Rhinolophus ferrumequinum: one gene and its partners. The protein of the gene in region 3 interacts with the protein of the main gene of each other region in a biochemical or structural test. Links are inferred from orthologs where the notes say so. Each region holds a gene or a part of one and is shown on either strand. Other genes may lie near its edges. The genes, in order: NOXA1, cytochrome b-245 light chain and NOXO1.

Region 1 (7,676 bases), on a different chromosome or scaffold from region 3:
GAATGTGCTGCTGGATTTGCTCTTTCCACACTCATTCCTAGGTGTCCCTGTCCCCTCCACAATCCCCGCTGCCTGGGCCGGCCTGCTCCTCCTTCTTCTTATGTGGCCTGAAGCGCCTCAGACAGGCCCTCTGCCCTGGAGGCTTGTACGCAACTCCCTCGCTCATGCTCCATCTTTGGGGCCCTTGTCCTTTTCACAGGCTCCGTCTTCATTTCACTCGGCTCATCGGGCCGGTTTGCTGTCAGTCTGCTGTAAAGCCCTCACACTCTTACTTCTCCCCACAGAAGGAGCAGCACTCAGCCTGGGGATGCGTGTAGGGCACCAGTCCTGGCAGATGCCCACTGTAAGGCCCAACACCACACAGCACGTTCTCCAGTTCAAGGCTGCAAGGACACCAGGACACTGTCTGCCTGGAGCATGGAGACCTGGGCCTCCGATCCTGCAGGAGAGTATTAAAACTTTCCCGATTTTATACTCTCCTTTCAGCTCCGCCCTTCAAAGGAGACTAATCCTGAGGCCCTTCCTGTTTGCCTGCAGGTGGGCTCAGCGGCTAGAGGAGAGCACACCTGTTGGAATGCTGTTCTTCCTGGGTTTCTTCTTTAAGACAATTTCCGGGGAGGGGGTCCTCGGTTAACACGTATGTGTTACTAAACGGCCAGCAGCAGGCTGAAGTGGTAGGTTCTGGAGACCAGCCTTACGGTGGTGCCTGGATGAGCCCTCCAGGAAAAGGCAGCCAACACCCAGAGCTCTAACTTGGGAGACACTCTCTGAACCTGTTACAGACGTGGCTCAGGGTGACCAGTGTCTCAGTCATGCCCAAGGCTATTTTTATTTCCCGAGAGAAAAGTCTTATGTGGCATTTTATTTTTTCTTGGCAAATGCCATTGTTTAAAGGAAAAGCCTTCCTTGTACTGGGCTATAGTCAATTCCCAAATATCCGGTCCTGTCATTTGATTGGCATCTGTGCTCCAGAATGAAGCCCTGAGTGACTAACCTCCTTCAAAGGGAAGTTCCAGCGTCAGGCTGGCCTCTCGCTGAGTCTGAGCCTTACCTTGGGTAACATCTCCCTTTTCTGGACTCTTCTACTGTAGGAATCGTGTGAACTAGACAGTCCCAGCAGGTCACAGCTGGTCCCAACACTGCGGTGTCCACTGGGGAGGACATTTTAGCTAAATAGAAGGAAGCTTTTAAACAACACTTAAACCATTGAATTTTAGAGCTGGGAGACTCTTAGAGGTCATTTGATCATTCCAACTTTCAGGATATCTGTAAAATAGAAAAGTCTTCTTAAAATTATTTTTAAAAAGTAAACGTTTTATTTAGAGATAATTGTAGACACACATGCACGTGTAGGAAATAATAAAGGGATACCATATACCCTTTCCCCAGTTTTCAAGGTGGTAACATCTTAAAAACTACAGTCAAAATCGCAACCAGGATATTGGCACTGATTCAGTCAAGACATGGAGACTCCATTCCCCCCCCAGGCTCCCCTCTGCCCTCTTATAGCGCCCCCCCCAAGCCGTTCATCTGTTAGTGACCCCAGACAGCCACTAATCTGACCTCCATTTATATAATTTGTCATTTCAAGGATGTTATGTAAATGGATAAAGTGTGTAACCTTTTTTCACTCCACTTATTCCTGGGACTGCCCGAGTCGCTGCCACCCTTTGCCCTTGTGGCCGAGTGGCCCCCACGGTGTGGTGCATGCCTGGTCACCACTTCCCCACTGAAGAGCTTCTAGGCTATGCCCAGGCCAGCGGTCTGGGAGACTCAGAGTTCCCGAGGAAGCGGGTCCTCAGGGGCACAGGGTTGTAAACATGTCTGAGCAGCACAGCTGCCAGAGGCCTTCCTAAGCACTTCACAGGCCATCACCCCAGCCACGTCTCACAGGTGCCCTCCGAGGTAGGCACTCATTGTCCCCATCCCACAGGTAAGGAAGTGGCAGGCTCTGAGAGCTGGCCCAGGGTCACACAGGGAGGACACACAGCCACAGTGAGTCACAGCCCACCAGCCCCAAAGGCCCAACCAGGGAAGGAAGGCGGCCAGCACGGAAGGTAAGGGGGGTCTCTGAGTCCCAGCTGCACTCTGGGCTCTGACAGCTGTCAACACAAGCCTCCCCAGGACCCTGGAGGCCACGAGGCTCTGTGCAGGTAACAGGACAGCCCGTCTACAGGAGCATTCCTGGGGTTGGCTGCTGTGGTGGATAATTTTGTGTCAACTGGCGAGGCCATGAGGCCCAGATATTCGGTCACGCAGTCACTGTTGCCGTGAAAGTCTTTTTAAGATGAGAGTAGCATTTGACACAGTGGACCTGTAGCAAAGCAGATGGATCGCCCTCTGTAATGTGCACGGGCCTCATCCAATGACTTGAAGGCCTTAAGAGGAGAAGACTGAGGTTTCCTGGGAAGAGAGAATTCTGCCTCCAGCGGCCTTACCTTGAGCTGCAACACTTGCTCTCCCCTGGGTCTCCTGCCTGCCAGCCTGCCCTGCAGATTTTGGACTTGCCAGCGCCCACAACTGCTGGAGCTAACTCCCTCTGGTCCGTCAGTCTCCGTACCTGTGTTGACGTTGCTCTCTGTGGAAACTGAACAAAGGAAACCTTATTTCCAATGGAATCGGGAGGCCAGAAGGGGGCGCACTCACGCAGGACCTCTCCGAGTCCATTACCGACCCCAACAGAACCCTCCACAGGCCGGAAATCACCAACAGGAAAGACGTACAAGGAACCAGCCAGCCAGCAACTCAGTGGCAAGACACCATCATCTGCCTGGAGTCTCGCTCTACTCCAATGGGCTAGCATCCAAAACAAGCCTCCCAACTTCCTCGTTTTTTTCCATAAAAAAAGTTCCTCTCCGTTGTTTGCTGGACTCGCCTATGGCTTTGCTATAGCTTGCACGCCCTGAATAGCAATTCTTTGTTGTTATTGATAAACCCATTTTTGACGGTAAAACAACTTTTGAGGTCAACAGAGCCCATCTGCCCGTCACCGCAGGGAACAACCGAGCCACGGGGATTGACTGAAGCTGGGTTAGTGCTGCTCGTTGAGACTTGATAAAGACGAGCTGGGCCTTTAAGGACACCCATCAGGTCCGAGGTGTCAGGGGGGAGCTGGTCTCCTGGGCGTTCATGAGCCCCCCTAGTCCAACACTATCGTCCTAACTTCCTTTTCATAAAACCCTCTGGCTCTAACTTCCTGTCTCCCCGCCATCTTTTTTCGTTGTTTTCTTCGTTTGTTTCCCCTCCTCTTCCCCCTCCTTCAGTTCCAGCCCTTGTTTCTCAGTCTAGTCGTGTAGGACACAGCTCCCCGGCCCCTGCTGGTATGAACCTTGCGCTCCCCCCGGCTGAGGCAGTCGGTCGCTGGTTGTTGGTCGGCCACTCACAGCAGCTCATGGCAGCTCTCGCTGGCTGCCGGCCACTCACGATGGCCATTGGCCACCCATGGTGGCACATGGTAGCCCACGGCAGCACACAGCTGCTCAGGGCAGCCCAGCTCCAGGCAGAGCTGTTGTTCACAATCTTAGCTGTAGAGGGCGCAGCTCACTGGCCCATGTGGGAATAGAACCGGTGACCCCCACTTTAGGAGCACCCGGTGCTCCAACCACCTGAGCCACCAGGTGGGTCCAATAGCCTCCATCTTTACACACAAGGCAGGATATGCACATGGCCAGCGGGTCTGCTCGGGCTGGTGCTGGGTTGCAGCCCTTTTTTCTTTTCCTGAATAAATCCTTTTTGGTGATGGAATACCTAGTCGATATTACTGCTCAGTCTACACCCTCCATCTCTCTGGAGGAAAGATGGGGACAGGTGACATGCAGCACATGAGACGGTCCTCAAGTGTAGCTGGGGCGTTGTCGTGACCTGCTTTTCCACGGGGGGACCTGGGGATGCCCCTCTGGCCCCGAGTTGGGGTCGGGCTGCACACCAGGCTTCCAGAAACCTGGGCCTTCGTTTCCCTACCTGGGGGTGAGCGCCAGACCTGCCCCTCCAGTCCCTCACAGCTGGGTCCCTCTTCAGCGCTGGGCGCTGGCATGGGAGACTCCAGGCCACTTGTGGACTGTGCCCTGTGCCCCAGGACCTGCTCTCACGGCCCAGCCCTCCCCGCGGAGCCCCGAGGACAAGGGCTTCGCGCCTGTCAGACGGGGCCCGCGGCCTGGTGGGGAGGGGGTGACAGCGGGGACCCTCGAGGCCAGCCAGGCCGCCAGCTCGGCCACGAAGGGGCGCTGGGCTGAGCCCCAGCCGACCCGCAGCCCTCGGCCCAGCCCTGCTTCCTGGCGCCCCAGGCGATCCCGAGCCCGCCCCACCTGGCCCGCGCCCTAGAGGTTGCTCACCTGTGCCTGCGAGGTCCGCCCGGAACCTTGGCCCGGCCCCGGCAGCGACGTCAGCAGCAGGCGGGAGGGTTTCCCCGGAGCCCCGAAGCCAACGCAGCCGTGGGTGGGTGGGAAAGGGGATCTTGGGGGCGGCCAGGCAAACCCGAGCTCCGAGCTCTCGGCGGAAGTCGGAGGGCGGGGCAGAAACTGAAATGGGCGGCCCAGAGCGGGGCTGACTGGGAGGGGGCGGGTCCAGATCCGGGAGGGGCGGGCTAGTGCGTGTGGGCGTGGCCAGGGTGGGGCCATGCCGGGGCGGGGCTGACTCGGGGAAGGGGCGGGGCCGCTCTCCTGTCGAGGGGCGCGGAGGACCGCAGGAAGAGAGCGCACCTGGCGCTCACCGACGTCCCGCCCCCAGCACCACGGCCCAGCGGCCCTCCGCCCCTGACCCCCCGCGGGCTTCGGAGGGTTCCCCGCAACCCCTGCCAGCTTCCGGACCCAGGCGTCCCTACTCCGCGGTCCTCAGTCCCCCAGTTATCCCACGGGACCCCCAACGCCGCCGGCCGCACGCCCGCCCGGAAGCAACGACTTACGCCGCGGCCGGGCCGGGACAGGGGCCGACGTCGCCATGCCCTCGTTCGGTGACCTGGTGCGCGACTGGCAGCGGGGCGCGCAGGCCGTGGCGCGCGGGGATTGGGGCTGCGCCCTGCAGCTCTTCTCGAGCGTCCCGGACCCGCCCGCCAGGATATGCTTCAACGTGGGATGTGTGCACCTCCTGGCGGGGGACCCGGAGGCCGCGCTGCAGGTGAGCCAGGTAGCCCCGGGGTTGGCCTCAGGGACCCTACCCCCGGGGAAGCTGTCCTCTGACCCTGGGGTGCCTTACTGTGCGCTGGGTCAGTGAGCGCTGTGATAAAGCCCAGGGCCCACGCCATTCCTCCCGACGGTCACCTGGAAAAATCGCTCCGGTGTTGTGCCTCAATGAACACCTACCGCAGATGGGAGCAGTGTGGTCCCAGGACCCCACCCTGAGCTGAGTCAGGGCCAGGATGGGGGTGCAGGGCTCCCTCAGTGCCTCCACTATGTGGTGACCATGTGCCAGACTCCACAGTCGTGGGGCGGGGCACTGGTTCGGGTGCTCAACGCCCAGGTGCTAACATACCTGGAAACGCTTGAGGCCGGATTCCCTGGGTAGGGGTTACCTGTCCCCCAAGGTGTAGGGTTTGGGCCAGGGGCTTCAGCCGATGCCTATCGTGATGGTGAGGAGACAAGGTCTGTGCCCAATCCCAGATCTCAGTGCTCACCTGTCTCCCAACCTGCTCCTGGAAGCAGAACCAGAGCTGAGGGGGGCGCAGGGCCACTCTCTGCCCTGTGAACGCTTTGTAATCAGGAAATGCAGCCCCGGGGCAGAAAGCACCAGTTCCTACAGTTGTGCAGATGGTCAGTGAAAAGTCACAGATGCAAAGAGGATGTAAGAGTCCCGATGTCAGTGCCATTGGAGGAGATGGGACCACACCTATCATTTCTTACCTCTGCATACGAACCTACAGTTCTCAGTAGCCTTTCCAGTTGAAAATGTCCAGGAAAAGAAATCTGATCTCTGGACAGCAGGTGACTGTAGGCGTGAGGGGTCCAGTCGTCACTTCTGCATACTTTAACTTCTGTGATTTAAGTGGGGGGAGGGGCCCGGGGTTGTGGGCAGAGGGTCTGAGGGCTCGTTTCTCCCCTACCTAACAGGAGGAGAGGGACTGTTACTAAAGGCAGTCAAGGTGAGGGTAGTAGCATAGGCATTCTAGTTGGGAGGCAAAGATTGTAAAAAGTAGACGGAACGGCTACCATTACTAAAACCGACTGTCTCTGAGAAGCAGGACACGAGGAAGGGCAAAGCTGGGACTGCAGTCTGTCGTTTGAACACTACATGAAACTTGATTTGGCTGCTCTGTGTGGCGGGAGAGCAAACAGAGCCCTGGACAGCAGCTGTGACGTGGGCTGATGGGGTTATAGACCTTGGCATTGCATGGGCATCTCTGTTCCCAGGCATTTGACAAAGCGGTGACCAAGGACGCCTGCATGGCTGTCGGCTTCTTCCAGCGAGGAGTGGCCAACTTCCAGCTGGAGAGGTGAGCCCGGGGGCGCCTGTTCCTTCTCTGATGGCCCTTTGTACTCCTGCCTCCGCCTCTCCCCCACGATCACCTCTCACTGACCCCTCCTGGACGGGAACCTGGGAGCAGGTGCTGTGATCACACTGAGCCGCACGCAGGGCAGAGCTGTCTCCATGCCGGTGTTCACACAGCGCTTTCCTGGGCACCCTTGTGCGCCTCCCACGTCTGCTGTGTGGGACTGGTGTGTTTACACCCAGTGCAGGCATGGGGACCGAGGGAGGGCTGTGGCGGTGTGTCCCAGGACGGAGGAGCTTGGGGCCTCCCTGCTCGCTGGGCTGTCCGCCCTGAGGCCCTTCCCAGAGCAGCAGGCAGGGCTGTAGGACAGGGCCCGTGCTGGGCGGGCAGGCAAGCTCTGGGGCAGCCTCCCCTCTCATCTGCAGAAGCCTCCCTGGGGGTGGGGGTCCCGGGAGGCACCGCCCAGCTGGGTCTGGGGTGCAGACAGGGGCCCCAGGCAGGGGAGCAAATGTCCAGGATTCAGAGCTGGGTCAGAGCACAGCTGCGTACTGAACCCTTGACCCGTTGTGGGGACTTGAGTGCCCACTGTGGGCTGAGATCTGGGCGACCAGCCCTGCCCCCAGCAGGTGTCCCTGGAGCTGGGGGTAGGGGCAGGAGGAAGGCTGTGGCAGGGCTGGGCCCCTTTTTCTGCGGCTGCTGAGGCCCTCGGCTCCCCTGCTGCCACAGATTCCAGGAGGCCCTGTTCGACTTCCGACTGGCCCTGGAGCAGCTGAGGGGCAATGCCGCCATTGACTACACACAGCTGGGCCTGCGGTTCAGGCTGCAGGCCTGGGAGGTGAGCATGTCTTGGCTGGTGCAGAGAGCTGGCCTCCATTGGCGGAGCTGGCTTGGGGTTCCCAGGTGCTGCCCATGGCTGGGCGGCCCAAGTGGTCCTGCCCGGCCCCTGGGTTCCTGCACGCCCCGTTCTCTGGGTCCTGTTGTTACTGTCACAGCTGTCCCCATGGTCCCTGCCAGTCACTTCCCCCAGGAGGCTCAGGGTGTCAGCGAGGGTGGGGCCACCAGGAATACATTCACCCAGGATAGGGGTAGGGATGGAGGAAAGGCGGGTGGTGGGAGGGGGAAAAGCTTAGTTGTGGGCCCCTGGCAGGGGCAGGCAGGGGGTATCCCCACCCTCGGCTCTGCACTTGGGCCTGTTCCCGGCCTCTGGGGACAGTGCTGGCACTGAAGGAGGGTTGTTGGTAGAGGCCCAGAGTGC
Region 2 (6,944 bases), on a different chromosome or scaffold from region 3:
ACTGCTTGGGTTCCAGGTGGCGTACACGTTTGACGCGGGCCCCAATGCCGTGATCTTTACCCTGGACGACACTGTGGCCGAGTTTGTGGCCGCTGTGAGGCACAGCTTCCCCCCTGAGTCAAATGGAGACAAGTGAGTTGTGGGTCCCCCCATTTGGGAGGCCTTGGAGGGAGGAGCAGGGTCTCCTGCTGAGCTCGGGACAGCTGCACCTAAGGCTGCTGCTGAATGGGGAGTCCCGCAGGGGACCACAGGCTGTGTGTCACTAGTATGCCTTGCTGTGACCATGGACTCGTCTTCCTCATACACCCCAGCCCCGTGGTCACAGAGACGGGCACATGCAGCGTCATGGCTCCTATGTGGACAGTACTCAGGGCCCCACTATGGGGACGGAGCATTTGGATTTCTTCCTACCCGTTGTTTTAATGGTCCTTTCTCAGTGTGGGGACACCTTCCTGTAGGGGTGTTGGAAGCGTGCGGGGTCATTTTCTCTGTCTCCGTAATTGGGGTAGTACTGACGTCTAGTGAGTGGGAGGCCGGAATACTAACTTCCTTACCAAGTAGAACAGACCACACTACCATGATGGCCCCCGAGGCCGCTGGTGCCCTCGTTGGAAGCTCTGCTCTCATTGGCCTTGTCACCGCAGTGAGTAGTGTGCAGCTTTTCCTGTTCTGAGGAACATGGTAATGGACTCTTGCTTGACCTGAGGCATTTTCTTCTTAAGTTGTGTTACCCTACTGGGTGGAGCAGTAACCCCAGGCCAGGGATGAACTTAAAACCTCCGGGAGGTTTCTGGAAACCCTCCTCTTCACAGTGACCCCAGCCAGGTCCTTGGTTATTCCTGCTTAGTTTTTTTGTGTGTGCGGTAAAGCACACATACACATAAAGTTGATGATTTTAACCACTTTAAAGTGTACACTTCAGCAGGATTAAGTACATTCAGTGTTTTGCAACTAGCATTTCTATCTGGCTCCAGAATTTTGTGACTCCACGGCAGTCACACCCCTTCCTGTCTCTTGGGTCTGCGTGTCCTACGTTCTTCCCATCAGTGGACTCACAGCACACTCATGCCTTCCTTTCCCCAGGTTTCTGAAAGGGCTGCCCGTGAGGCCTGCCCTGCTCTCAGACGAGCTTAAAGCTGCGCTGGACATGGAACCCACCCCTGGCGGCATCAGATACATCATTGCTACTCAGGTGAGGCCTGGCACCAGCCCTCAGCCCCAGGGCCCAGGGGTCCCTGCGGCCCAGCACACCTGGGGAGGGCCCCATCCGGCACACAGGCCTTGAGGACTCAGACCTGGCACGTCTACCCGGTGAAGGGACTCCCCTTCAGCCCCACTTCATCTGGGCTGGGTAGCCAGGTTGCTAAGAATAACAGCAAAAGGAGGAGGAGTACCACACTTCTGTTTTCAAGGCATCTGGTCCACTATGGTTTGTTTCACTCACTCGCTCTCAGCAGGAACATTTTAAGACATGCTGTGAGGTTTGGGGCAGCATTCCCAGTGCTGAGGGGGGCAGGTGAGGCTGGGAATGTAAGACTCCAGGAGACAGGTGCGACGGGTCCAAGGACCCTCAGGGCTCGCCCACTGGAACCAGATCTGGGTCCCTGCTCAGAGTGGCCGAGCCGGGATTTCACTCAGATCGTCGATTCCAAGTCCCCATGCCCTCAGGTGCCCAGGCCCCGGTCTCTACCTTTCATTGAGTCTGGGTGATAGAGGCCGAGAGACCATGTAGCTCTGTCTGAGGAAGTTGGGCACAGGGCCAGGGTGTCACCACACGGGTGGTCAGCTTCTGACCTGCCCTTACCTGGGAGTTGGGGGGTATACCTGTCCCTCCCTGTCATCCCAACCTGACACTGATTTCTCTACCTGCCAGGTGGGGCCCGGGCCTCAAATCCTGGATGATCCTCTCGCTCACCTCCTGGGCCCCGATGGCCTGCCAAAGCCAGCTGCTTGACCAGTTTCTCGACAGGAGCCTTGGCCGCTGCTTGGAGAAGGGCCGCTTTGCTGGGAGAAGGGGCCACTTTCCACTTTGCTGGGACTGGGGAGCTGCTTGTGGCGGTGCCTGTACTATGCTTTTTGGGGCTGGTGGGTGGCCACCTCGCCCCAGGCCAGGCAGTATGCCGGGGCTGAATAGGGGCAGTGGAGTGACCACTTGCAGGCGCCAGGTGGTCAGGAACGGGCCCCCCACCAAGTGCCTCACCTTCCCCACCTGCACCAATACTGTGCTGAGATGAGGGCTGGGGTCAGATGTGGGACCTGGGGGACCGAGCTGATGGTGGTGAGCTGCTGGTGTGTCTCCCTGAAGGATCTCTGGCCCTGAGCCCTGGAGCCACTCGCACTGACTGAAACAGGAGCTGGGCCACCGGAGATGATGGGGAGTTGGCATCCCTCTGTGGAGCTGGAGGACCAGTCACTGCAGGGAGCTGCCTCTGCAGGCTCCAGAGCCCTCCATAAAGTGCTTTGAACATGACAGTTGTCCCAGCTCCTCTGCCAGAGCTCAGGCCACTGGGTGTGGACGTAACGTTTCTTCATAAAAAGACCAGGAGTTGTCTCCAATGGGAGGTGGGAGAGCAGCACCATGGTGCGTTGTCACAGGGAGCCCTGTCAACAGACCACGGAGAATAAAGCCAGCGTTGCTGATTGGGCCTGGCGTGCTTCTGTCTAAGCAGTGTTGCTGTGTAGGCCGTGGGCAGCGCTCAGCGGGAGGGGTGGGGAGGGTGCGGGCTGCGAGCCTCCTGCAGGAGCAGAGAACTTAGAACTCGCGCATTTGCTAACTTGCTCCTGAAGAAGCTGCCTTCTCCCAAGGTCCCCTCATTGCCCAGCCCTGTGGTGGGTGTTCAGCACACAGCCACCCCCCAGGGCCACAAGCCACACTCAGTGGCTATGGCTCTGACAGGCCTGGGGACATGGTTTGGGCCGGCTTTAAGCTCCCAGTCCATGAAAGAAAGTGGGAAGCAGCTTTGCAGGGAGGAGCACTGATTCAGGAGGGTTCCCCTCAGCCCAGAAGCTTATGGGTTCTGGAGCCCAGGAATTGCTTGCACTTCTAAATGGGTTTTTCCATTGTGTGCAGGTCATCGACCTCCTCTCCACTTTCCCAGCTTCAGCACAGTTGGCTTAGAGGAAGAGGAGAGTGGACATGTACACCTATTGACCTACCTCCTGGTTTCCTGCCTCTCCCCCGGAGAGTCAGCTGCTACCGCTGCTGGGTGGGCAGAGGAGGGAGATGACAAAGGGACAGGGCCAGCACTCTGACATTCTGGGTTTTCCCAGGAGCTTTGTACACCCTGTTTCCTTCCCCTAAGTTAGTCCTGTGGACAGGGCTGCTCACCATACTTGCACTAGCCCAGGGCCAGATGAGGAAGTAGGCGCTGGGCCTGCCACTGACCTTCCTATTGGGCACTGACTTCCAGGGAGGGGTTCCCCAGGCTCTGACTCCTGGTCTGAGGTCCTTCTCCCTTGAGGGGAGTTCCCCCGACCCCGCAGTGGGCATGGTGAAATCGCTGGACCTTTAAACCCTTCTGGGAACCTGGCCTGCTCACTGTCCTCTGTAAGCACCTAAGAGAGCCCAGCATTATGAGGGCACTTTGCCTTCTGAGGCAGGTGTCCATCTCATTGGTCCCCTCTCTGCCTATGTCCAAGACCCCCAAGCGATGCTCAGGATGTCCCAGGTTGACCAGGCTGGGAGCTGACAGGAGAGGTGCCTGGCACCAAGTGGGTGGGGGCCGCTGTTTGCCCCGGGGAAGTGAGGCAGGGGGCCCCTCCGACCCTCAAGCAAAAATTCTGTTGTGCGGGGCAGACCTCCGGAGCACCGCCATAGCCTCGGGCCCCTGCTGTCCAGGCCCGTCACTTGGGAGCGGGACCGGAACTCGGGGCGGGGCGGGGCTGCACCCGAGGAACTAGGGGACAGGGTGGGGGTGGAGCCGGAACTTCGGGCTGGGAGGTGGCTGGCGCGCGGGGCTCAGTGTCCCAGCGGAGCCAAGCCGAACCGCGCTGCGGGTCGCCATGGGGCAGATCGAGTGGGCCATGTGGGCTAACGAGCAGGCGCTGGCGTCGGGCCTGAGTGAGTGAGCCCGGGCTTGGCCCGCGGGGCGGGCCGGCAACGCCGAGACCCCGGGCTGCAGGCCGAGGGACCGGGTGGGCCGGCCACGGGGCCGGGGAGCCAGGGTCCTGACGAGTCAGAGACTCGGCTGCGGGCCGCGAGGCGGGAGCTGAAGCCTGGGGGTGAGGGTCCCCAAGACTTATGCGGAAACCTGCAGCTGCGTGGCGGGGAAGTGGGCCTGGGGCTGCCCGGCAGTGGGAGACCTCGGGCTAGGGAGGCGGTCTGGAGACCCTCCTGTCCCCGCAGATACCCGCGCCCCCGTCCCCTCCCCCTTTCCACTGTCCCCTTTTCACCCCCTCCACCCCACCAGGACCTCACACCACCGATAGAGGAAGTTGCAGCCCTAGGGGAAGAGGCCTTCACCCCGGGTGCTTTCCGGGGAGTTACCACCCTCCAGGATTGGGGAAACCTGGCAGGACCACCCGCTCCTGCTGTTCCTCCTGCCCTGGAGTGGGGCTTCACCCCAGGGGTCGCGACGGGCTCCCTCCCCCGCCCTGAGCCTTCACAGGACATCTAAAACAGCCCAGAGGGACCTCTCCCAGCCCAACTATCAGAGACTGCTTCTGGGGAAGGATGGCAGGCCTCCTCAGTCACGCTGAGCCTGTGTTCAGGAGCTCTGGTGAAAACACAGTGGGGTCTGCACCCCTGTGCTGTACTTGGAAGTGGAACCTCTCAGGGATGGTGAGACTGGGCCCAGGCAGAGTCTGAGGCAAGAGGAAGCTGCCCAGAGGTTCTGCCCGCCTCTGGGGACCTGCCACTTCCAGGAAGGACCTGCACCCAGTGGGAATGAGTGGGTGGAAAGACAGTAGGGAATGTAGTGATGAGGAGGGTCCTAGCCCACCAGCATTCCCCTGGGACCCACCCTGAGGCCCCTCTGCCAGGGGGACAGGAGTCTGGTGAAGCTCTGGGAGGGAAGGGAGCAGATGTAAATGAAGTCTCTCTCGCCGCTGAACTGTAAGATCACGTTTTTGTAAGATCACGTTTTGGGGTGAGCAGTTTTGGGTCATGAAGCCCAATGGTCTGTTCAGGCAGGTCACCCCCTTGAGTTTGGCGTCTAGGGTGAGAAGTCAACGAGTGAGAAGTCAGTGAGTTAGATAGTTGTCACTTTTTTTTTTTTTTTAAAGATTTTATTGGGGAAGGGGAACAGTGTGTACTTCCAGGACTTTTCCAAGTCAGGTTGTTGTCCTTTCTTAGTTATGGAGGGCGCAGCTCAGCTCCAGGTCCAGTTGCCGTTGTTAGTTGCAGGGGGCTCAGCCCACCATCCCTTGTGGGAGTTGAGGAGTCGAACTGGCAACTTTGTGGTTGAGAGGACGCGCTCCAACCAATTGAGCCCTCTGGCCACCCGGGAGCTGAGCGGCAGCTCATTGACTTCATTCTAGTTGTGGAGGGTACAGCTCGCTGGCCCATGTGGGAATTGAACTGGCAGCCCCATTGCCCAGAGCTGGCACTCTAACCAACTGAGCCACCCGTCCGCCCCAGTTCTCCTCACTTCTCCCCAGAGTTGTCCCCAAGCTGTTCCCCTGTCTGCCACAGGTCATGAGACCTTAAACAGCTGCAGACCAGCCTCCCTTCCTCTTACAGCTCCTCAACCCCCAGGAAGTAAAAGGCGACAGAGGGCACCAAACTGGGAGCTCTCTGAGATGCATGGGTTTGAGTCCCCTTGGGTGCAGCACCCCCAGCACCCCCGTTCATGGCATGCCCACTGTGTGCTGGCTGAACCTTCCTTGCCTTAGCTAATGTCCTTAGGGTCTGAGGCTGGAGCTGTTCCTGCATCTACTTTACAGACAGTGAAATCAAACCTAGAGAACGTACAAGCTGCAGCTCAGTTTCCTCCATCACCAAATGAGGCAGTTTATTGGAAGGTCTTCTAGGGCCATTCCTGCTCTGAGTTCCTCCTCTTGCTGACTTTTTTTCCTGATTCAGTATAAATTGCAGCCACCTGAGACTGCTCAGGCCTGGCTGGACCCTGCTAGCAGCTGCCTCCAACAGGCTTCTTTTTTTTTTTCTCATATGTTGAGCTTCTTTTTTTTTTCATATGTTGAGCCGTTCTTTGAGCCGTTCTTTTTTATTTATTTATTTATTTTTAACAGGACTTTATTGGGGAACAGTGTGTACTTCCAGGACTTTTTTCCCAAGTCAAGTTGTCCCTTCAGTCTTAGTTGTGGAGAGCGCAGCTCAGCTCCAGGTCCAGTTGCCGTTGCTAGTTGCAGGGGGCGCAGCACACCATCCCTTGTGGGAGTAGAACCGGCAACCTTGTGGTTGAGAGGACAGGCTCCAACCAACTGGGCCATCCGGGAGCTCAGCGGCAGCTCAGCTCAAGGTGCTGTGTTCAATCCCAGCTGCATGGGGTGGAGCCCACCATCCCTTGTGGGATTCGAGGAGCTGAACTGGCAGCCTTGTGGTTGAGAGCCCACTGGCCCATGTGGGAATCGAACTGGCAGCCTTCGGAGTTAGGAACACGGAGCTCCAACCGCCTGAGCTACCGGGCCGGCCCAACAGGCTTCTTTCTTATTGTAGAAAATTCCATCTAATCAGATCATGTCCCCTCCTGCTGAAAACCCTCCAGTGGGTCCAATTGCGAAGAATAAAAGCCAGATTCTTACTGCTCTGTCCCTGTCCCCCTGCCTTCTCTGTCATTCCAACTGCACAGGCCTCCTCTCTGTTCCCAGATTTCCTAGGCATACCCCAGGACCTTTGCATAAGCGGTTTCTTCTGTCTGAAGCATCCATGGCTGGCTCCGCCATTCATTTCTCAGTTCAAATGTCACCTGCTTAGAAAAGTCTTTCCAGAGCACCTAGACATCTCTGTCACAGTCTCTTGTTCTAGTTCACCATCTCTGATGTTT
Region 3 (7,244 bases):
TGCTGGCCTACGAGGGTGTTCGGGCCTCCCTGGAGGCCCTGCTGCCCTACACTGGTACGTGGGCACAGCCCCAGGTTGGGGGTAGGGAGTAGCTCAGCACACTCTGTGGACCCCATGACAACCTCTGTCATTCCCCAGAGCGCCACTTTCAGCGGCTCAGCCGGACACTGCAGGCAGCCACCTTCCTGGACTTCCTGTGGCACAACATGAAGCTGCCCACTCTCCCTGCGGCCCCCTCAGCCCTCTGAAACACGCAGAAGGTGTACTCTTCTATCCCAGCTCCCTGTGTCTGTCTGGACGTTGTCTCATCAAGATCACAACTCCGGCCAACCCCCCCTCCCTGGGCCCTGGCCTGGCCGTGATCCAGCAGGCCCTGCCCCTGAGCACAGACACTGCGTGTGGGTCAATCAGAAGAGCTTTTTACTCAAAGGAAATGGGAGAGTGTAGCCTCCTGGCCCCCCCCAGCCAGGGAGTCCCACCCTCAAAGGCACCTCCCTCTGCCCTGGGAGTGGTGTGGCTCCCTGGGGTCTGGAGCCTCTGGCCTGCCGCTCCAGCTGTGAGGCAGTCAGTGCAGCCTTCCGTGTGATTCCACACACCCTCAAGGGGGTCCCTGACCCCTTGGGGCCTGCCGCAGTGCTCTGCGGGTGATAGTACAGCAGCGACTCTGAATGACACTCAGTGGGGGGCGGGCAGGCACAGTGGGGGGAATGGTTGTGGCCTGGTTGGGCTCAGGGGAGCTCTGGGCCTTGCCTGGCCTGTTCTCTCCGTCCTCTGCCCCACAGTGGAGCCCTGGTCCACTCAGGAGCATGCCCAGTCCATCGGGCTGCAGCAGCACAGAGGGGAGAAGACCTGTGCGGCCACCGAACCTGAGAAGACAGCAGGGTTTGGTTAGTCGTGGCCCTGCCCCCAACTAGACCCCCACCCCCACTCCCCACAAAGCCCCCACACCTGCATACCTGCACAGCCACCAGCCGCGATCAGACATTTCCAGGACGTGCACATGCGCTCCAGCAGGCACTGACAGCTCGTCAGCCCGGCTGCCCTCATAGGCACGGGATGCACAGAACTGGAACCCTGGAGTGGGGTGCTTGAGGGTCACCAGAGGGCTCCCACTTTTTGGTCCCCTTACCTCCCACTGAATCGCCCCCTCCAGGCTCCCTCTCTGCATCTCTGCTGACCCCAGGACAACTCTAAAACCTCCTGTGGCTCCCTCCTACTATGGGGACCTAGCACGTGCTAAGGGGGCCACTGCCACCACCTAGTCACTCCATGGCGTCCCTCCCCTGGGCCCAGTGTTTGTGGCCCAGCTTTGCTGCACGCTGCCTACAGGTGGTAGGGGTTGTAGGCACGGGAAGGAAGGCTAGTCTCATACCACTACTCCGTAGGGGCCGGCCCCCCTCTTCTCCCTGGCCTGGGGCCACATCCCCTAGGTAGGGAGCAGGAAACCACGCCGTCTGCTGGTCTTCGTTCTGCACCAGCCACCAGCCTGTGGGCAAGAGGTGGCCAGGGGTTCAGATCCCCAGGCCCACTGGGATCCTGGAGGCAGAAGGTTGAGTCCCCAGACTCCTGCCCAGCCCCACCTGAGGGGTGTCGCAGCAGCACATCCAGGACCTCCTGGGCCCGTGTGTGGAAGGGCCGGCCCTGTGTGTCCTGGGTGCTGAAGGGCTGTAGGCATTGCAGGCTCTGAGCCTCCAGGCTGTGGATGGAAGGGCTGCGCGCAGGGCTGGCTACGGGCTCTTCTGGGACAGGCAAGATGACAAGGCTGGGAAGGGGGTGGGTGCAGGGAGGAGACGTGAGCGGGTGGGAAGTGTGGGGATCGGCCAGCCAATCCTTGCAAGTCCACTTAGCCGGCTTGCCTTCACACCTCCAAGGCCCCTTCACCGCGCCACCCCCACCCTCCAAGTGCTTCCTATAGGGAGTTGGGGGCTGGTCAGTTACCTGCCAGGTGGCAGCCTGGGCTCTAGGTCCCGGGTTTGCGGCGCAAAGAAGCTAGTGAGAGCCGGGTCACAGGGCATGCGCTCAATCGCCAGCAGCGCCCGCAAATAGGCTTCCAGCAGCTGCAGGCGCACCAGGCCACGACCCGTGCGCCCCCCGCGCACCAGCAGCGATGCATCTGTGGGCAGAACAGGGACGGACCATGTAACCCCACCCCCAGGGCTTCCCCCACCAGGCCGCCTGCTGCCACCCCAGCCCGTCCGGGGATCTCTGCCAGCCTGACCCTGAAGCTTGGGAAGAACGCGGTCAGATCTCCGCAGTAGGCCCGACTCTACCGGGAAGGTCTCCTTGAGGTTCTTCTAAGGGAGAGAACCAGGGTATTGGTGTCCGAAAGCCCACCAGGTACCCTTGGAAAGGGCAGGGGTCGCTTGCTGGGATTGTAAGGACTGGAAGCCCGTGTGGGGTGGGCGTGAGGGCAGGCACCCCAGCCGGGGTCATTGGTGGGTCATACAGTTGAGGGGAATCAGATCACCCCAGGCTCACTCACATGGAGCCTCCTGAACTCATCCCAGCTCCTGCGCAGGAAGGTGTTGCTGTCGTCCGACCAGCGCACAGAGAAGGCGAATGTCTGTTGGAGAAAATGCTGGGGGCACCTGGGAGGGGCTAGACCATGAACTCCCTCCCTCCCTCCTTCCTCCTTGAGGTTGGCAGGGACCTGTAGGGTCATACCTGGAACTTCTCTGTCTCCACCAGAGCCGCAGCACGTACTGACACTGGGTGCCGAGGGCCTGCCATAGCTGTGGCCTTGGTCTCAGTCCTGGGCTTCTGGAGCTGGCGGGATGTGATGGAGGGTTCTGCTGTCTCCCTGCCCACACTGGGAGGGTTTGCACTCCTGGGAGGGTTTGCACTCCTGGGCACCGGAAGCGTGGTTGGAATTCCCCTATGACTCCTGAGACCTGCCAGGTCCTTGCGGCGCTGCCCCTACACCTGTGTCCCTTCGCAGCTTCCTCACTGCACTGCAAGCTGAAGATCTGGGTGGAGGGGCTGAAGCACAGGGCGTGAGGGTGGGAGGGGGAGCACAGAGGCGGTGGAGATGCTAGGACTGCTGCCTGAGGCCCTCCTGCCCAAGACTGGCCGTGGGAAAAGCCATCAAAGGGCCGCCAGGCCTGGCCCATCTCCCCATCTCCCGGCTCTCCCACACCCTGTTAATGCTGGGAATGGTGAGAGCCTGTTGCCAGGGTGTGGCCCACTGCTTTGTCTTCGAACTCACCTGGAGAGGTCACCCATTTATCAGGAACTGCTTAACCCTCACCTTGAAGGGAAAATCCCTTAATAACACCACAGTCACAGAGAAGGAAATGTGTTAAATGGATCATTTATGTCAGTATTTCTGTGTGTGTTGGGGAGAGGCAGGCCTCACAACTTCACCCCAGAGGTTCCCCTGTGGTGGGTAGACTTGGGGCAGCAGGAAGAAGACGGTCCATCTCTATCGTCACAGACGCTTGGGGTGGGGGAGGTGGTGACTAAGGTGGTTTTGAGAACCGACTCGGAATTCATGATTTATTACAAGTTACTGCAAACACAACTTCTGAGATCAGGAGTGGCTATTCCCCAACTGACGGGAATCCCCAGAAAGCCTGCCCAAGTCCAAGTGCCCCATATTACTGGGCTGCTTCCTCATAGGGGAGATTTCTGGAGCCCCATCTAACCTTGGTGCACAGTGGTTCTTCCTGTTGTTGGGGCCACCAGCTCTGACTTATGCCCCCTAGGGCTGGCTAAACCTTGCCCCCAACCTGAAGCCGTCCAGGAAGACGTCACTTTCCAGGGCATCCTTCCAGGAACCGACCATGGCCTAGACAAAAGGCTTTTGTGTGTCTGACCAGTGGCTCTGTCTGAAGCCCTCAAACCTACCCTGGTCTTGGTCCAGACAATGAACACCTGCTGACATAGGCCTTATCTGCAGCGTGCCTTCAGCCCAGCTGCCACACTCTCCCCAACCTCAGTGGGGGCCTGGCAGGGTCTAGGGTGGGACAGACCTTGCTCCCCTGGAAGACAGAGAAGCTGGGGAAGGGACAATTTACTCACAGCCAGGGACCTAGAAGGATGCTGAGGCCCCCTCCCTGCCCCAACCGACAGCCCCTGCTTCACACCCCCAGTAACCCTGAGTCCTTTCCACTTTTTCCCTCTCCATAGCCCCTCCCCTCCTCTCTCACCCGGGCAAACAGCCCCCCTATCCATCCAATGACCGTGTCCCTCACTTGCTCCCATGAAATGGACTCTCCAGAGAAACCTGCAAAACAGGATCGGGATCAGGCAGAGGTAGCCCTGCTCAAAACTGTCCAGGATCTTCCCACTGTCCGAGTAAATTCCCAATTCCCGCGATAGCCAACCAAGTCCTTGGCGGGCCCCTGCCCCCTTCTGGATATCTCCTCCACAAGTCCTATCCCACTGGCCTTACTGCCCACGCGAGACCAAGACCCTCCCACCTCCAGCCTTGGCCTTCACTGCCCTCCACAGCTGATTCCTCATCCTTGGGCTTCTGCCTAAAGGTCACCTAAAGGAGGCCACCTGGATTTACCACACCCTGTTAGGACCCCCACCACAGTTTGTAAATGAACATTTATTAGTGTGACTTGTTTTTGTTTTTGTTGTTTCCGTCTTGACCATACCGGACTATGAGCTAAGATCAGGGTCAGATCTTGCTCCCCGCCCTGTCCAGCGCCTGGAACAGTGCTCGGAACAGATTAGGCACTACATAAATATTTGCGAAATGAATGAGTGTACGTAAGCAAGCAGAGGTATCCCTGAGGCCACTCCTGACGTGGAGTTAACCCTTTCATGCTGGCTACAGGATCCGGGGCCGTTCGGTGCGCACAGGAGTCCAGAGACATGTGCAGCTTCCTTTGCAGGCACGGCCCCACCCAGCCTTGCCAGGCGCCCGTTGCCGTGGCACCGGCCATGGAGGCTAATCCCGGGACCCGGCCCTAGAGCGCCGGGGCCTTCTGTGCGCTCACGGCCCCGCCCCGCGTTGCCAGGGCGCCGCGCAGCCGGCCCTTGGGCGAGCCGGGGCTGAAGGCACAGATTCTGGCCGCCCGCACGTGGGACAGTCGGAGCGGAGCGATGGGGGCGTCAAGGGCCGCAACACGGACTTCGCCTAAACCACAGCCCGAGTCCACGGCTCGGCCGCGGCGCACCTTCCACAACACGTTCCTCTTCTACTGGAGAAAGCGGGAGCGCCGCCCTGGACAACGCAAGCCTGGCTTGGACCGCGGAACTAGCCCCAGGGGTGCCGCGAGGACGCGGGCCTCCGGCCTCACCCGGGCCTCCGGCGCATTTTTGGACCCGACGCAGTCCTCCCGCTCGGCCTCCTCCCGGGTGCGGGTCGCGCATCCCAGCCCTGCCTCTGTGCTGGACCCCGCCTCCACGGCGGACCCCGCCCCGGCCCCAGGCTCCGCCCCCGAACCCGCCCTCAGCCCCAACTCAGGCCCGGCCTCCACGCCCGAACCCGCGGCGCGCGCGCCCGGCTCCTGTGGCCGCGCCCTGGCGGCGGCGCGCGCGCTGGCCTGGAGGCCGACTTGGAGGCCGAGCTGGAGACCGAGCTGGAGGCCGAGCTGGCCCGGCAGACATTGCGCGGGCAATATGGCGGCGCCCAGCGATCGGGGGCGCTTCGGCGGCGGGAACCTCTTTTCCTTCCTGCCAGGCGGCGCGCGCTCCGAGGCGATGGAGGACCTGGTGACGGACGCGCGCGGCCGGGGGGCAGGGCGGAGAGATGCCGCCGCCTCGGCCCCGACGCTAACCCAGGCACCGACCCCCGATTCTGAGGTCGTCGATGACACCTCCCGAAGGCGGCCCTGCCGGGCTTGCGTGGACTTCAAGACGTGGATGCGGACGCAGCAGAAGGTGCAGATGTCGGGAGGCGCCACTTCCCCACAGAGGCCTGCAAGCCCTGCCTACCCCTAACCCCGGCCCGCATACACCCCACCCCAACCTCGGGCTCCACATCTTGTTCTCAGGCACCCTGGGCAGATCTCCCAATGCGAAGGCCGAGCGGCCACAGGTCCTATGCCTGACAGACTTATGCCCCACAGGGTTGGCCTTTAGACCTTCAGCCACAAGTGGGCCGGATCCGCTGCAGGATCCGGCTGGGGAGGGCAAAGGGGGAGTTTTGTAGGCTTCTGGTCCGGGAAGACCGAACTGACCCTTGATCGGCCTCCTTCTGCAGCGGGACAGCAAGTTTAGGGAAGATTGTCCTCAGGATCGCGAGGAATTGGGCCGCCACAGCTGGTCTGTCCTTCACACCCTGGCCGCCTACTACCCTGACGTGCCCACCGCAGAACAGCAGCAAGACATGGCCCAGTTCATACATTTATTTTCCAAGTTTTACCCCTGTGAGGAGTGTGCAGAAGACATAAGGAAAAGGTAAGTTGTGTCTGCACCATCTGCAGGCAGCAGAGCATCCCACGTGGAGCCTGGGTCTGGGGTCCCTCACTGATGTCATAAAGGGGAGCCTAGAGAAATAGGTGCAGAGGTGGCAGAGGGTTGCCACGAGCAGGGACCACCAACGGAATGGGGATTGGGTCATCTGAGCCATCTTTCTCAAAGGCCAAACACCCTGGGGTTGCTTCTGGACACTGCTGCTTTCTGCAGCCACAGGTCTGCAGGACTTCTCTCACAAGGTCCCTGCTTAGCACTGATGGAAACTTCTGCGAGTTAAGGAGGACTCCACCTTGCCTGACTTCTGGAGCAGCACTGCTAGTTTCAAGACCTTGAGAACCCACTTTTTTTATTGTTTGGCATCCATAGGCATTTCTGGGCTGGATGTGGGGGGGCAGGAAAGCCCTTGCTGTTTGAAGCCTGAGCAGTTAGAACCAGGTCTCTTGCTGAGGTGGGGCACCAGGGCCCCAGTTGCTAGGAAACAGGTTTGGTTTTCAGTTATGCCTTTGTGCCCGCCCCACCCCTTCCACACTGCCGGGGGCCAGGGAAGCTGGGGTGAGGCTTCCTGATTGTTAAGAGGTTGTAAAGTTGCCTGGTCTGTGACTTAATTTCTTGCCCTGGGCTCTTGTCAGTGTTTGCCAAGCTCCCTAAGTGGCATTTTGAGCAGGCTTAGGAGTCCACCCCGTCTGGATGCTGCAGGGTCTGCCCTGTTTTGGGACTTACTGTCTCAGAGCATGAGAGCACTCCTGGGTGTAGCTCACAGCAGGGTCCCATCTCCTCCCTGGATTGAGCCGGCAAGGAGCTGGTGGGGCAGGGGCAATGGAGCCACTGCCTGCCCCCCGTCCTCCATGTGCTCCCCCATGCAGGATATGCAG

The links.
Region 1: the proteins of NOXO1 (region 3) and NOXA1 form a complex in vitro, tested with the Homo sapiens proteins (2 studies listed by IntAct). The link is inferred for Rhinolophus ferrumequinum from reciprocal best matches to the Homo sapiens genes NOXO1 and NOXA1.
Region 2: the proteins of NOXO1 (region 3) and cytochrome b-245 light chain form a complex in vitro, tested with the Homo sapiens proteins (3 studies listed by IntAct). The link is inferred for Rhinolophus ferrumequinum from reciprocal best matches to the Homo sapiens genes NOXO1 and CYBA.

Annotation. Positions count from the first base shown.
Region 1 is NC_046295.1:83,440,832-83,448,507, forward strand, and holds the start of NOXA1 (NADPH oxidase activator 1), read left to right. Parts: upstream 1-4,641; 5' UTR 4,642-4,935; coding exon 4,936-5,112; intron 5,113-6,341; coding exon 6,342-6,424; intron 6,425-7,147; coding exon 7,148-7,256; intron 7,257-7,676.
Region 2 is NC_046298.1:33,294,558-33,301,501, reverse strand, and holds the start of cytochrome b-245 light chain, read left to right. Parts: upstream 1-3,920; 5' UTR 3,921-4,002; coding exon 4,003-4,060; intron 4,061-6,944. Other genes in the region: MVD (diphosphomevalonate decarboxylase), read left to right, coding at 17-132, 1,084-1,192, 1,874-1,954. UniProt on the Homo sapiens protein: Subunit of NADPH oxidase complexes that is required for the NADPH oxidase activity that generates, in various cell types, superoxide from molecular oxygen utilizing NADPH as an electron donor.
Region 3 is NW_022680357.1:3,725,790-3,733,033, forward strand, and holds NOXO1 (NADPH oxidase organizer 1), read right to left. Parts: upstream 2,803-7,244; 5' UTR 2,731-2,802; coding exon of another isoform or gene 2,665-2,730; 5' UTR 2,663-2,664; coding exon 2,483-2,662; intron 2,295-2,482; coding exon 1,939-2,294; intron 1,763-1,938; coding exon 1,581-1,762; intron 1,487-1,580; coding exon 1,373-1,486; intron 1,075-1,372; coding exon 957-1,074; intron 867-956; coding exon 599-866; 3' UTR 569-598; downstream 1-568. Other genes in the region: TBL3 (transducin beta-like protein 3), read left to right, coding at 1-54, 139-248; GFER (FAD-linked sulfhydryl oxidase ALR), read left to right, coding at 5,056-5,835, 6,158-6,354, 7,236-7,244. UniProt on the Homo sapiens protein: Constitutively potentiates the superoxide-generating activity of NOX1 and NOX3 and is required for the biogenesis of otoconia/otolith, which are crystalline structures of the inner ear involved in the perception of gravity.